3 linked regions of the Nothobranchius furzeri genome follow. The protein of the gene in region 3 purifies or fractionates together with the protein of the main gene of each other region. This does not show direct contact. Links are inferred from orthologs where the notes say so. Each region holds a gene or a part of one and is shown on either strand. Other genes may lie near its edges.

Region 1 (3,651 bases), on a different chromosome or scaffold from region 3:
AGACTTATCATTATCGTCAGTTTTATCGTTATCAGACTTATCGTTATTGTCAGTTTTATTGTTATCAGACTTTTCTTTATCGTCAGTTTTATCGTTATCAGACTTATCGTTATCGTCAGTTTTGTCGTTATTAGACTTATCGTTATCGTCAGTTTTATCGTTATCAGACTTATCGTTATCGTAAGTTTTGTGGATATCAGACTTATCGTTATTGTCAGTTTTATCGTTATCAGACTTATCGTTATCGTCAGTTTTATCGTTATCAGACTTATCTTTACTGTCAGTTTTATTGTTATCAGACTTTTCGTTATCGTCAGTTTTATCGTTATCAGACTTATCTTTACTGTCAGTTTTATTGTTATCAGACTTTTCGTTATCATCAGTTTTATCGTTATCAGACTTATCTTTATTGTCAGATATATCGTTATCAGACTTATCTTTATTGTCAGATATATCGTTGTTAGACTTATCGCTATTGTCTGATTTGAAGTTATCAGACTTGTTAGAGTTAATGTTTTCATCAGAGTTATCAGTATTGTCAGACTTACCCCTACTTCACAGTAGAAGCATCAGCCTTGCAGAACGCAAGTGAACGGTTTACTCGCTAGCTTCACAGCATGCCAAAACACACCGGGGGGAGTCTCAGCTGCAGAACGGCTTTTCCGCCGTGCTTCTCACTGAACTTGCGAGATCACAAGATACCTTGAGTCTTCAAAAGTCACGGTTTGTTTATGCCATCTGCTGTTAAACCAAAAAGAGGGAGATCACGTTTTATATCACTGTTTGATGTCGTATATGATGTTGTTCCTCTCCACTGCCAGGATTAAAGCCATGAAAAACACACCACTGCACTTCTGGAACGATGCTGGGAGTAAATAAACCTTGAGTTCACACATATAGACGTAAACTACATAGCTATGAAATTGCATCCCTGCAGTAGACTTATTGTGAAAATTACCTGACATTTTACTCTGAAACCGTGTGTCATTTCCTGTTCGGCAGTTGACATATCCCAGAAGCGGGTTGTTGCAAAAATAGAATCTGATTCTATCTTTAGCGGCGCGGCGTTCCGCTTCTGGGACGTGCCTGAAAATTGCCGCGTCGAGGCTGGTTTGAAACACCCCCACAGACTATAACGGATTGAAGCAGCGACATTGCACACTTATCAACAGAATACTCTAAAATTTAATGAAATATACAGACAACCTGAACGTCGTTACAATATATCGTGGCATCACGTTGTGCCCAGACACTTGTGCTGATGATCTATACCAGGGGTTGGCAACCTGTTCCCATCAAAGAGCCATTATTACCCGTTTCCCACAGTAAAGAAAACACTGGGAGCCACAGCAGCCACAGCGTTGTTGGCGGGGCCTACCCTCAGACATCTGAGAGCTGCTTTAACTAATCACAACAGGTGACAGCAGCCAGTACCGGTCGCTCGTGTACGTCAAAGTTATCTTTCATAAGACGATAATCAATAAAACGATTTATATAAAATGGATCCAGAAGCTGTAGCCCGTCTCTGCCTGTTGTAATTAAACTTTGTAGGTGGGGAAGGTCAAAAAAGGATCCGATCATTTTGTTTTTCCCTCATTTACAGTGACGGAGACAATGGCGCAGTGCGCCTGGCTCTGGTGTTAATCAAGTTAAATTATATCTCTTTGCGACAATTTTCACAAGAAAACAGAACAGTTAAAAGCAGGGCTTGTGTTGTGTTGACCGGATAGTTCCCGTATTTGACCGTTTATTTTGACGGAGAAAGAATAGAAAGAATTACCCCGACGCATGCAGACGAACTGACATTTTATTCTACGCACATCACAGATGTAGCTAAATCACTCAAGAAAAGATTCCCATCTGAACATCTGAGCTGGACACTGCTCAGCGCAGCTCACTGTCAGCATGTACTACATAAGGTCCACAGCGAGCTGAAGATGTGGAGAGGGGCTTGGAGCGCGTCGCAGAACCAGAGCGCATGCAGGAAGATTCCTCCGACTGAAGTGAGACTTGTCACTTAGAAAATGTTCCCTGATTATGAAACTTTGGCTGAATAGCGCTTGTTCCTGTCTCCAATGTGGCGACGCATCCAGGAGCCTGTCTAAGGAGAATCCCAGAATCTCACAACCTCGTCAGCTCAGGGAGCGCCTATGATTACGCACAAGCGTGACGCGTCAACCCGGTCTCACAGTAAGACCGGGTTGGACCTGTTCAGGTTTACGTAGACAATCTTTACATTTAGAATTGGCTTACAGATGTAAAATTAATGCAGTAAATTATAAAGCATTTTATTTAAAAATCCATTCATTATTTTACAAGCTCAGAGAGCCGCATCAGATGATGGAAGAGCCGCATGCGGCTCTAGAGCCGCGGGTTGCCGACCCCCGATCTATACCGACCTTATCGTTGACTCTGCGATACGAGACGGTCCTGCAGACCTAATCATAAACGGATCTTTTCCTAGTTTTTACACACGGATAAAAGCCTTCAGCGTCTCCGTTGTCCTGACACTCACCACCAGATTCTCTCGTTATGAGCTGAGCGGGTGAGATCTTCCCCCTCTGTGTTCATGAATTATTCTGTTGGAGTTCGATCCCTGCCCCCGCATTAATAATTCACCGCCTCAGCCTGCTTTTAACCCGCATCAACATCAGCAGCCTCTTTCTGAAAATGTAAAAATCTTCAGGTCCTTTCTTAATTGGAGCAAATGTCAACAGTTAGAAGCGTAGGAGGATTATTTTAGATCATTTTAAACAATCTCTGAGCTTTGAACCGTTTCATTTACGGCTCTTTGTTGCCGTTCTGTCAGCTCTCCGGGTTTTCATGTAACAGCTGATTAAAGGAAGTAGAACAACGTTTCTGGTGCATTATTAAGCGACACCCCCACCCCCCGCTGCTCAGACAAACAGCTCTCTCTCCTCACGTTTCACCTCATGTCCTCATCAAAGACTGTATTTTTTTGTCTTCTCTATCATCTTTGTGTCTACCATGCTGTCTCCGTGTCCCTGCAGGTCCAGGGAACAACGCAGCGGCATCCGCCGGGCTCGCCCAGTCCCAGTCCAGAGCCATGATCGCAGCCGCCGCCCGGCGCCGTGACACCAGCCACAACGAGCTGTACTACGAAGAGGTGGAGCACGAGAAGCGGGTCCGCAAACGCAAAGCGCGGTGAGTCCGAGGAGCAGCTCGAGGATTCTGTGAAGAAGCAGGAGTAACTGTGTGTTTCCTCCCAGCCTGGTGGTGGCGGTAGAGGAGGCCTTCACCCACATCAAACGCATGCAGGACGACGAGCAGAAAAAGGCTCCCGGGGACGTGATGGACCCCAGAGAGGCGGCGCAGGCCATCTTCCCCTCCATGGCTCGGGCCCTGCAGAAGTACCTGAGGACCACCAAGCAGCAGCACTGCCACAGCATGGAGAGCATCCAGCAGCACCTGGCCTTCTGCATCACCAACAACATGACGCCCAAGGTCCAAACTGCTTCCATCAGTCTCCTGCTGGCTCTGGAAAGACTCTGTTACTCATTTGTTCTTCTCCCCTCCTCCAGGCCTTCCTGGAGAGCTACCTGACGCCAGGCCCCACCCTGCAGTACAACCAGAACCACTGGATGGCCCGACGGTGGACGCTCATCAGCGAGGCGTCGGTCACCAGCGGCC
Region 2 (3,651 bases), on a different chromosome or scaffold from region 3:
CTGTCCCTCGGCATTCTTCAAATATCCAAAAAACGCCCGTACTTCCCACTTTGTCTTCTTTGAGGGATAATAAATGTCCTGAGCGCTGCCGTCTCCTCCTTTGGCCATTATTTCAGCTTTAGCTTCAAGAAAGTTTTGGTTGTAAACAACAAAGTGCGCATGTGCCGCCGGCAACTTCAGCAGATGATACGGTGGCTGGTAAGGGTCACCGCGCCTACACCGCAGCCACGCTAATCCACCGAGATAATATAGTTTTTTAAAACAAGACGGTTATTATTATTGTCAACTTTTTTAACCGGGGTTTACCGCTACACCGGTTACCGTGACAACCCTAGCTGTTAGTGAGGCTTCGTTAAACTTGTCCTTTGATTTGGCTCTCTAAGCTCAGCCGAGTCCTGACTGGTGTCTCCTTCAGCCAGAGCAGAACCAGCTGACCAGTGCTCTACTCGCTTACTGGTTTTGGGAGTCAGGTAAACGCTGAGGGCGGTGATGGCGTCTTCAGTTGGGTCTCTGTAGAGCTCAGTCACTAGCAGGTCGTTGTCCTTCATCCTCAGAGGAAACTTCTGAACATCTGACCAACAAAAAACACACAAACGTCCAAAACTGCAGCAGTTTACAGAAAACAAGGTGCTGGTCTTCAGGTGGAGCTTCTCACCGATGTAGTAGATGGACCCGTTGTTGCAGCCCAGGATGAGGAAGGAGCCGGCGGTGTCGTAGCTGCTGATGGGAACCACGTCCTGGTTCTGCAGAAAGACCAGAACCAGACCGGGTCAGAGACAAACCACAACGCTCCGCGGCCTCGTTTGACCTCAGATCTAAAGCTTGTTAGGAGGAACCCTTCCTGTGATGAGAAATGATAAAAGACCTGCAGTGTGGCACCTTCCTGAGTCAGAGGACTTCGACTGGTGATGATGTTGATGATGATGAAGGCCTCTGGTTCTTTTTAATGAAATGTTTTTGGGTAAAAGATCTGAAACCTTCACAATTTACTACAAAATGCAAAAATTCAGCTAAAACAGAAACATGCTTCAGGTTAAAGAGTTTAATGTTCTGATGTCAATTTCCTTTGTTTTCTATATTTGTTTTGTAACACACACACACACACACACACGTGACCCAAGTGTTACTCTCCCCACCTGCCAGTGTTTGGTGACGGCGTTCCAAACCCCGACCTTCCCTGTGTGACTGGTGGCGATCAGCTGATTACCAACGAAGAACAGTGCCTCAGCCGGCACATTCAGGCTGAACACACCTGCAGGACCAACAGAACATCAGATCGCAGGTAACTATCAGATCCAATCAGAACCCTGAATCACCCGGCTCTGTCCTACTACCCCCCCCCCCCCATCGTACCGATTTCATTCCCATTCCCGTCTGGACAAATGGTCCACAGGATGATCTCTGTCACCGAGGCAACAGCCACCATCTTGTCGTTGTCCCCTAGTGACCCTCCCATCACTCTGGCGTTGAGAGCGACTCTGTCGATCACGCAGTCGAGGCGAGGGGAGGTGAAGACCTGCTGCCACCCGGTCGACTCCTTCACTCTGAAACGGGAGGAAACGGCCGTGACTGAAGCGGATACAGGGAAACATCCGCATTTCCACTAAGAGAACACTAACCCATAAACAGCCAATCAGAGGCTGGTTCTGATCACTAATAATCCACCTTTAATCCTGAAAGCTGGACTTAATCTGACAGGTTTACCTGTAGCAGACAACAAACTGAGCGTACGCCACGGCGATCCAGTTATGATGCCCACAGATGATCCGAACCAGGCCGGAATCCGACGACCCACCTGCGCACACCTCAGAGACCTCAGCGTGGGCCAGAACCGCTCACAGACCTTAACCAGAAAAAAGAATCGCGTTACCTGCTGATGATCTCTCCTCCGTGCTGATCCTTCCCAACATCCCAGAGATCCCTAGGTTGGGCGGCATCGTGTTGCTGCGTCGGACCGGTACACGCTCCCCTGATACAGCCCGACCCGCCACGAACTGCGATCCAGCCACACTGTGGCGGTTCCGCCGCTTCACTGGGTAAACTGAGACGACACACCGTCACTTCAGACGCTGAACTGGAGCTCTGCTGAAGGTCAACTGGGAGGACAGGTGTCCTACCTGGTGGAGGCAGGTAACCGTTGAACAGAACGTTTCCACAGGAGGACCGGTCCAATTCGTCACACAGCTGCAGCTTGCGAACTAAATAATGCAAAGAAATAATACTGATCATTTTAAACGGATAAAAACTCCCGATCCAGACCAGAACTCCTAAGAACCAAAGCTGCCCTCGCAGGAGGAGGCAACACGGTTGCCATGGAGACTAACAGTAAACTAGCCAGAGGGAAGAAAGCATACCAACTTTATTTATAAAGCACATTTAAAAACGGCATGGCAGCAGACCAAAGTGCTGTACAGGATAAAAAGTAAAAACACTAGAAAACAAGACACCGTCAACAATAAAATACACAACAAGGCAGATAATCACGGTCAATAAAAAGACACAGTAAAATAATAAAAGTCAGGGATTTAAAAATGCCTGGTCGAAAAAGTGAGCCTTAAGCAGCGACTTGAACCGGAGGAGGGATGGTGCCAGCCTCACTGAAAGAGGAAGAGCATTCCAGAGCGTAGACAAAAGCACGCTGCCTCCGCGTTTTCTATTTCATTGTTGGAACGCGAAGCAGCAGGCGATCAGCAGACCTCAACGCCCGGTTTGGCACATAACGAGTCACAAGATCCGACAGGTAATCCGGAGCCAGACCACTCAGGGCCTTAAAAACAAAAGTCAGGATTTTAAACTTGACTCTGAAGTTTACGGGTAGCCAGTGGAGCTGCGTCAGTACAGGTGTGATGTGGTCTCTTCTAGGGGTGTTTGTTAAAAACCTGGCTGCCGCGTTCTGTACCACCTGAAGCCTGTTGAGAGCGGAGGCAGGTAAACCAATTAAAATGGAATTTGCATAATCCAGTCGGGAGATGATAAAAGCATGGATTACGGATTCACGGTTGCACGGCTCCAGTTTGTGCAGAACTCTGTGGCTAGGTTCCTGACAGGCACTAGATGTCGAGAGCACATTACCCCAGTGCTGACTGCTCTGCACTGGCTCCCGGTGCAATATCGGGCTAAGTTTAAAATCTTAACTCTCGTTTATAAGGCCCTCCAGGGCAGTGCCCCCTCGTACATTACTGCACTTTTGCAGAGGTATGCTCCGTCTCGGTCTCTTCACTCAGCCGAGCAGGAACTTCTGGTTGTCCCCCGGTCGAAATATCGATCGAGGGGTTGTCGTGCTTTTCCTGATCTGGCTCCAACTCTGTGGAACGAATTGCCACTGAGCATTAGGCAGGCACCGTCCCTTCAAGTCTTTAAGTCTCGTTTAAAGACTCATTTTTATTTGATTGCGTTTTAGCGCTAGGGTTCTTTTAATTGCCCTGACATCATGGTTTTAACTATTCTTCTTTTGAACCCAGATGCTTGATTTTATTTTGTCCAACATTTATTTTTGATCGATTAGTCTTATTCCGATATCTCTCTTTATCTGTAATAGTGTTTGCTTGATATTTTATGATTTTATGTTTTTATCCTGCTTTTATGCCCATGTACTGGGAATGTTTTTCCTTTAATGATGTTGTTCAGCACCTTGGGCTTCCGATAATGTTG
Region 3 (3,651 bases):
CTGTTTACAACTCGCTCGCAGCGACCGACGACATAACGCTCTTGCGCATGCGCAGCTGTCTAGGCAAGTTCTCGTTATGAAGGACGGGTACCGAAACGACGCACCGTTTCAAATGACGTGAATCGGTGCTTAGTCGGTACTGTGGAATTCGGTCGGTACCTTAAAAAGTACCGAATTCGGTACCCATCGCTAGTACAAACATAACCAACAGAAGAATTTAATTTGGGATTTCTGTAGATGGAGTTTGGGTCTCTAATTTCCCTCTGGGATTAATAAAGTATTGATTGATTGATTGATTGATTGATAAATCTTACAAGATCGTTGTGTGGCATGATCGGTCTGGCAACCCTGGCCAGGTGTTGTTTCTGCTGTTGGTTACCTGGATCAGGTGTGTTCAGCCAGTTAGAAGCCGCAAGTTCATGCAGGACTGCGGCTCTCTGAGACCGGGGTTGCCTACCCCTGGTCTGGGGAAATACAGAAATGGGGCTGAGAGTGGAGCAGATGTTCTGACCCAATGTAGCTATGAGCTAACAGAGCTAAACATAGCTAACGGGGGTTGGTGGGAGCTTTTAGCCAGAAAACTGCTGTTTAGAGTGACAGTGTGTAGTTTCCCTGGCGATAGGGGGCAGAGCATACCTAAATGATTGTGTTCAAGTAAGACTTTACCTACGAATGGCCATTAGGGTCAAACATCTCTGGGAGCACAACATCCAGCAAAAATAACAAGAACACCAGATTCCCTTTCATCACCGGCAACGAGTGAAGAGGTAAACGTGTAAATCAATGTTTATTAATGGTGAAAGTTCTGTAACCAAATCAGTAAATGCATTTTGTCCACACGGACTTCCGTAGAAGGAAACATGGCATCTAATATGGCGCCGCCCAGAGACTTGGACCCACTCCCATGGTTATATGTTGTGAAACTGCCAAAAATTGTAATCCGCTGGGCATCTTTTAATTTGTTTACAACAACATTAGATGGATATTTCCAGAGATTAATGGTAAAAACTACACATTGTCACTTTAAAGGTGTGGTTCACTGAGAAAACATTTTTTAAATGCTGAGTGTTTCATGCAAGCTGAACATGAAAATAGTCTCCTACACCTATCTCCTGCAGTAGCTTCTGATAGAAAACAGACGGTGAAACTCTAGGATAGAAAATCCTGACAGATCTACGTCACCCTGTCACTAACATTCATGGATTCACCCATCTGGACTCACGACGGGGAAGGCTGTTGTTGGTTTAGTGTCCAGGAAACAGCAGAGAACGTCTCCGCTAGTAGAAGCTAACGGTTAGCATTAGCAATTCCACCACACAGCAGAACTCCTCCAGACTTGTGTTTTTCGTGGCGATAAAACGGCTCATCTGCTATCTGTCAGTGAGATAGACACGCCACTAAATATTCACACTTTCAAGCTTTAGTTACATCAAAGTACATGAAACACAGAAGGATTTGCCCCCGAGTTGCCATGACGATAAACATGAGTGTCAATGGGAAGTTTCACCTTTCTGGAGCCAGCCCCTAGTGGACGAGGGGGGACTACATGTTTGTCACTTCTGCGTTGGCAGAGTTTTCCAATGATTTCAACAGCTGATAAAAATAATCGTTTTGCTAAAATAATTCATGATCAAAAATACAAATCCTGAACTTCAAGCTGTATTTTGTCTAGTTTTAGGTTAGAGGGTCGAACTAGAAACGCGTTAGTACGTTTGGTTTATAACAGGCTTTTAAATGTAAAACATCAGGTTTTTTAGGAATCTGGATTAAAATGAGATTTTTCAGTTTACATGAAAATATCAACTTTTGAGGTCCACATCTGGCAGGGAGCTGGATGTTTTTCTAATATTTCAAATGTCTCTGGTATTTTTAGGCTGGCCGGTCTGAGCCCAGACTCCAGGAGGGAGACCTGGTGGTTCTTATCAACGGTCGAGACATATCCGAGCACACGCACGACCAGGTCGTCATGTTCATACGGGCCAGCAGAGAATCGCACTCCAGACAGCTGGCCCTGCTCATCAGACGCAAAGGTGATCCGGAGGAAAGCTCTGAAATTTGTGGGTTTTTTTATGTTTGAATATGTAATCAGCCTTGAACTGTCCTTCTAATCCAGGTTCAAGCCGGGTGGCGTCCTCGCTGCAGCTGCCTACTGCCCTCACGCTCACCATCCAGTCACAGGAAAACAAGCCGGCGTCTCCTGGTCAGTCGGAACGGGTCGCCACGCAGGAGGAGTCGATGAAACAGCTGGAGAGAGGGATCCAGTCTGGCACTCTGTGCTTCCACTTTGAGGTATTTCAAATCTTAGCAAAAGGGCTAATGAGCGTTTGTCTTTTCGTAATGATGTGGAGAGTCATGATGAGAGCGTTGCTTGTCAGACAGATGTTGGCCCTAATCTTCAGCCGGAAGCTGCTCGTAGAAACAGAAGCTGTGGCTGGCCTGGATTCTTGTTTTGTGTTCAGCTTTTGGATGTTACTGTTTGTTTACTTGCATGTTTGTGTGTGTTTGCATGCTTGTAATTCCTAGAATTTATACAGGAGGAAGCCTGGTTTGTCACTAAGCTGTGCACGGCTGCCTGAGAACGTGGAGAAGAATCGATACAGGGATGTTTTACCTTGTAAGTTTGCTCCCTCACTGCCCGGTGCTTCCACCGCCCTCCACCCCTCTCAGCTTCGTCTCTCCGCCGCCTTTTCCGACCCTGAACTGGATCTGGCCGTGGGTCCTGATGTTTAAGTGGCGGCGGCGCTTTGACGGCTCTGTTCTGACCCTCACCAGCTGCTGTCTCGCTCTTGTTTCAGACGATGCCACCAGGGTGGTGCTGCGGGGTCAGGAGGACTACATCAACGCCAGCCACATCAAGGTGAACTCTGCTCACGTGGAACCGCCTCCTCCTTGCCTGAACCGTTCGTTTAGGCTCATCCTGTTTGTGTTTGTTTGTTTGTCTCTCAGGTGGCGCCGCCGGCGTCCGGTGTGTGTTTACGTTACATTGCATCTCAGGGTCCACTGCCGCAGACCTTCGCTCACTTTTGGCAGACCGTGTGGGAACAGCAGATACACACCATCATCATGCTCACGACGCTGACAGAGAGGGGACGGGTAAAATACACTTTGTTGCTCTGAAGCAAGCAGGCGCTGTTGAAATTACACGACCCTGTCGGTGGTGCATTAACGCGGTGATTACTGCAGCACCACTGGCTAATTATTACATGCTGCGTCGTGTTCAGTTCGATACGTGATTATTACGGTAATGAGGGGGTCCAGCGGTGATGTTTGCACACAACCGCAATCAGACGGCACGGTTGTGAGCAATTACTGGGTTTCTCAGCAAAACGTGAGTGTGGACCAGATCCCAGGGAGATGAATAACTCTCGTCCGCACGGACGCAGGGAGAAATAAAGGTGCTCCCTGAGTGAACATGCGTTCTTCTCAGCTTGCCTGTTGCCTGGTAACCAGATGTTCTCATTAACTGATCATTTCCCTGAAGCTCATCAAGTGTCCAGAGTTTCTTTGTTCTGCACAAACAAACACACAGATTGGCTTTCAGTTCACATCCTGCCGCTGATGAATTGCTGTTGTTCCCCGGACCGCCCCGCGCAGCAGCGCAGGCGCTTGAATACGAGTTTGATTTCCTGAGAGCGGAGCGCAGCTGCTGTA

What was found.
Region 1: the proteins of ptpn3 (region 3) and vang-like protein 1 purify together in Homo sapiens (affinity purification with mass spectrometry; 4 studies listed by BioGRID and IntAct, with this or other methods). This does not show direct contact. The link is inferred for Nothobranchius furzeri from reciprocal best matches to the Homo sapiens genes PTPN3 and VANGL1.
Region 2: the proteins of ptpn3 (region 3) and shkbp1 purify together in Homo sapiens (affinity purification with mass spectrometry; 4 studies listed by BioGRID and IntAct, with this or other methods). This does not show direct contact. The link is inferred for Nothobranchius furzeri from reciprocal best matches to the Homo sapiens genes PTPN3 and SHKBP1.

Annotation. Positions count from the first base shown.
Region 1 is NC_091754.1:55,592,969-55,596,619, reverse strand, and holds part of vang-like protein 1, read left to right. Parts: exon of another isoform or gene 1-550; intron 551-614; exon of another isoform or gene 615-677; intron 678-780; exon of another isoform or gene 781-865; intron 866-958; exon of another isoform or gene 959-1,130; intron 1,131-2,399; exon of another isoform or gene 2,400-2,430; intron 2,431-2,515; exon of another isoform or gene 2,516-2,571; intron 2,572-3,011; coding exon 3,012-3,165; intron 3,166-3,230; coding exon 3,231-3,465; intron 3,466-3,542; coding exon 3,543-3,651.
Region 2 is NC_091753.1:56,774,750-56,778,400, forward strand, and holds part of shkbp1 (SH3KBP1-binding protein 1), read right to left. Parts: intron 2,199-3,651; coding exon 2,118-2,198; intron 2,042-2,117; coding exon 1,871-2,041; intron 1,796-1,870; coding exon 1,705-1,795; intron 1,545-1,704; coding exon 1,354-1,544; intron 1,253-1,353; coding exon 1,137-1,252; intron 744-1,136; coding exon 656-743; intron 572-655; coding exon 455-571; intron 1-454.
Region 3 is NC_091745.1:79,125,362-79,129,012, reverse strand, and holds part of ptpn3 (tyrosine-protein phosphatase non-receptor type 3), read left to right. Parts: intron 1-1,873; coding exon 1,874-2,030; intron 2,031-2,113; coding exon 2,114-2,289; intron 2,290-2,523; coding exon 2,524-2,614; intron 2,615-2,795; coding exon 2,796-2,857; intron 2,858-2,946; coding exon 2,947-3,093; intron 3,094-3,651.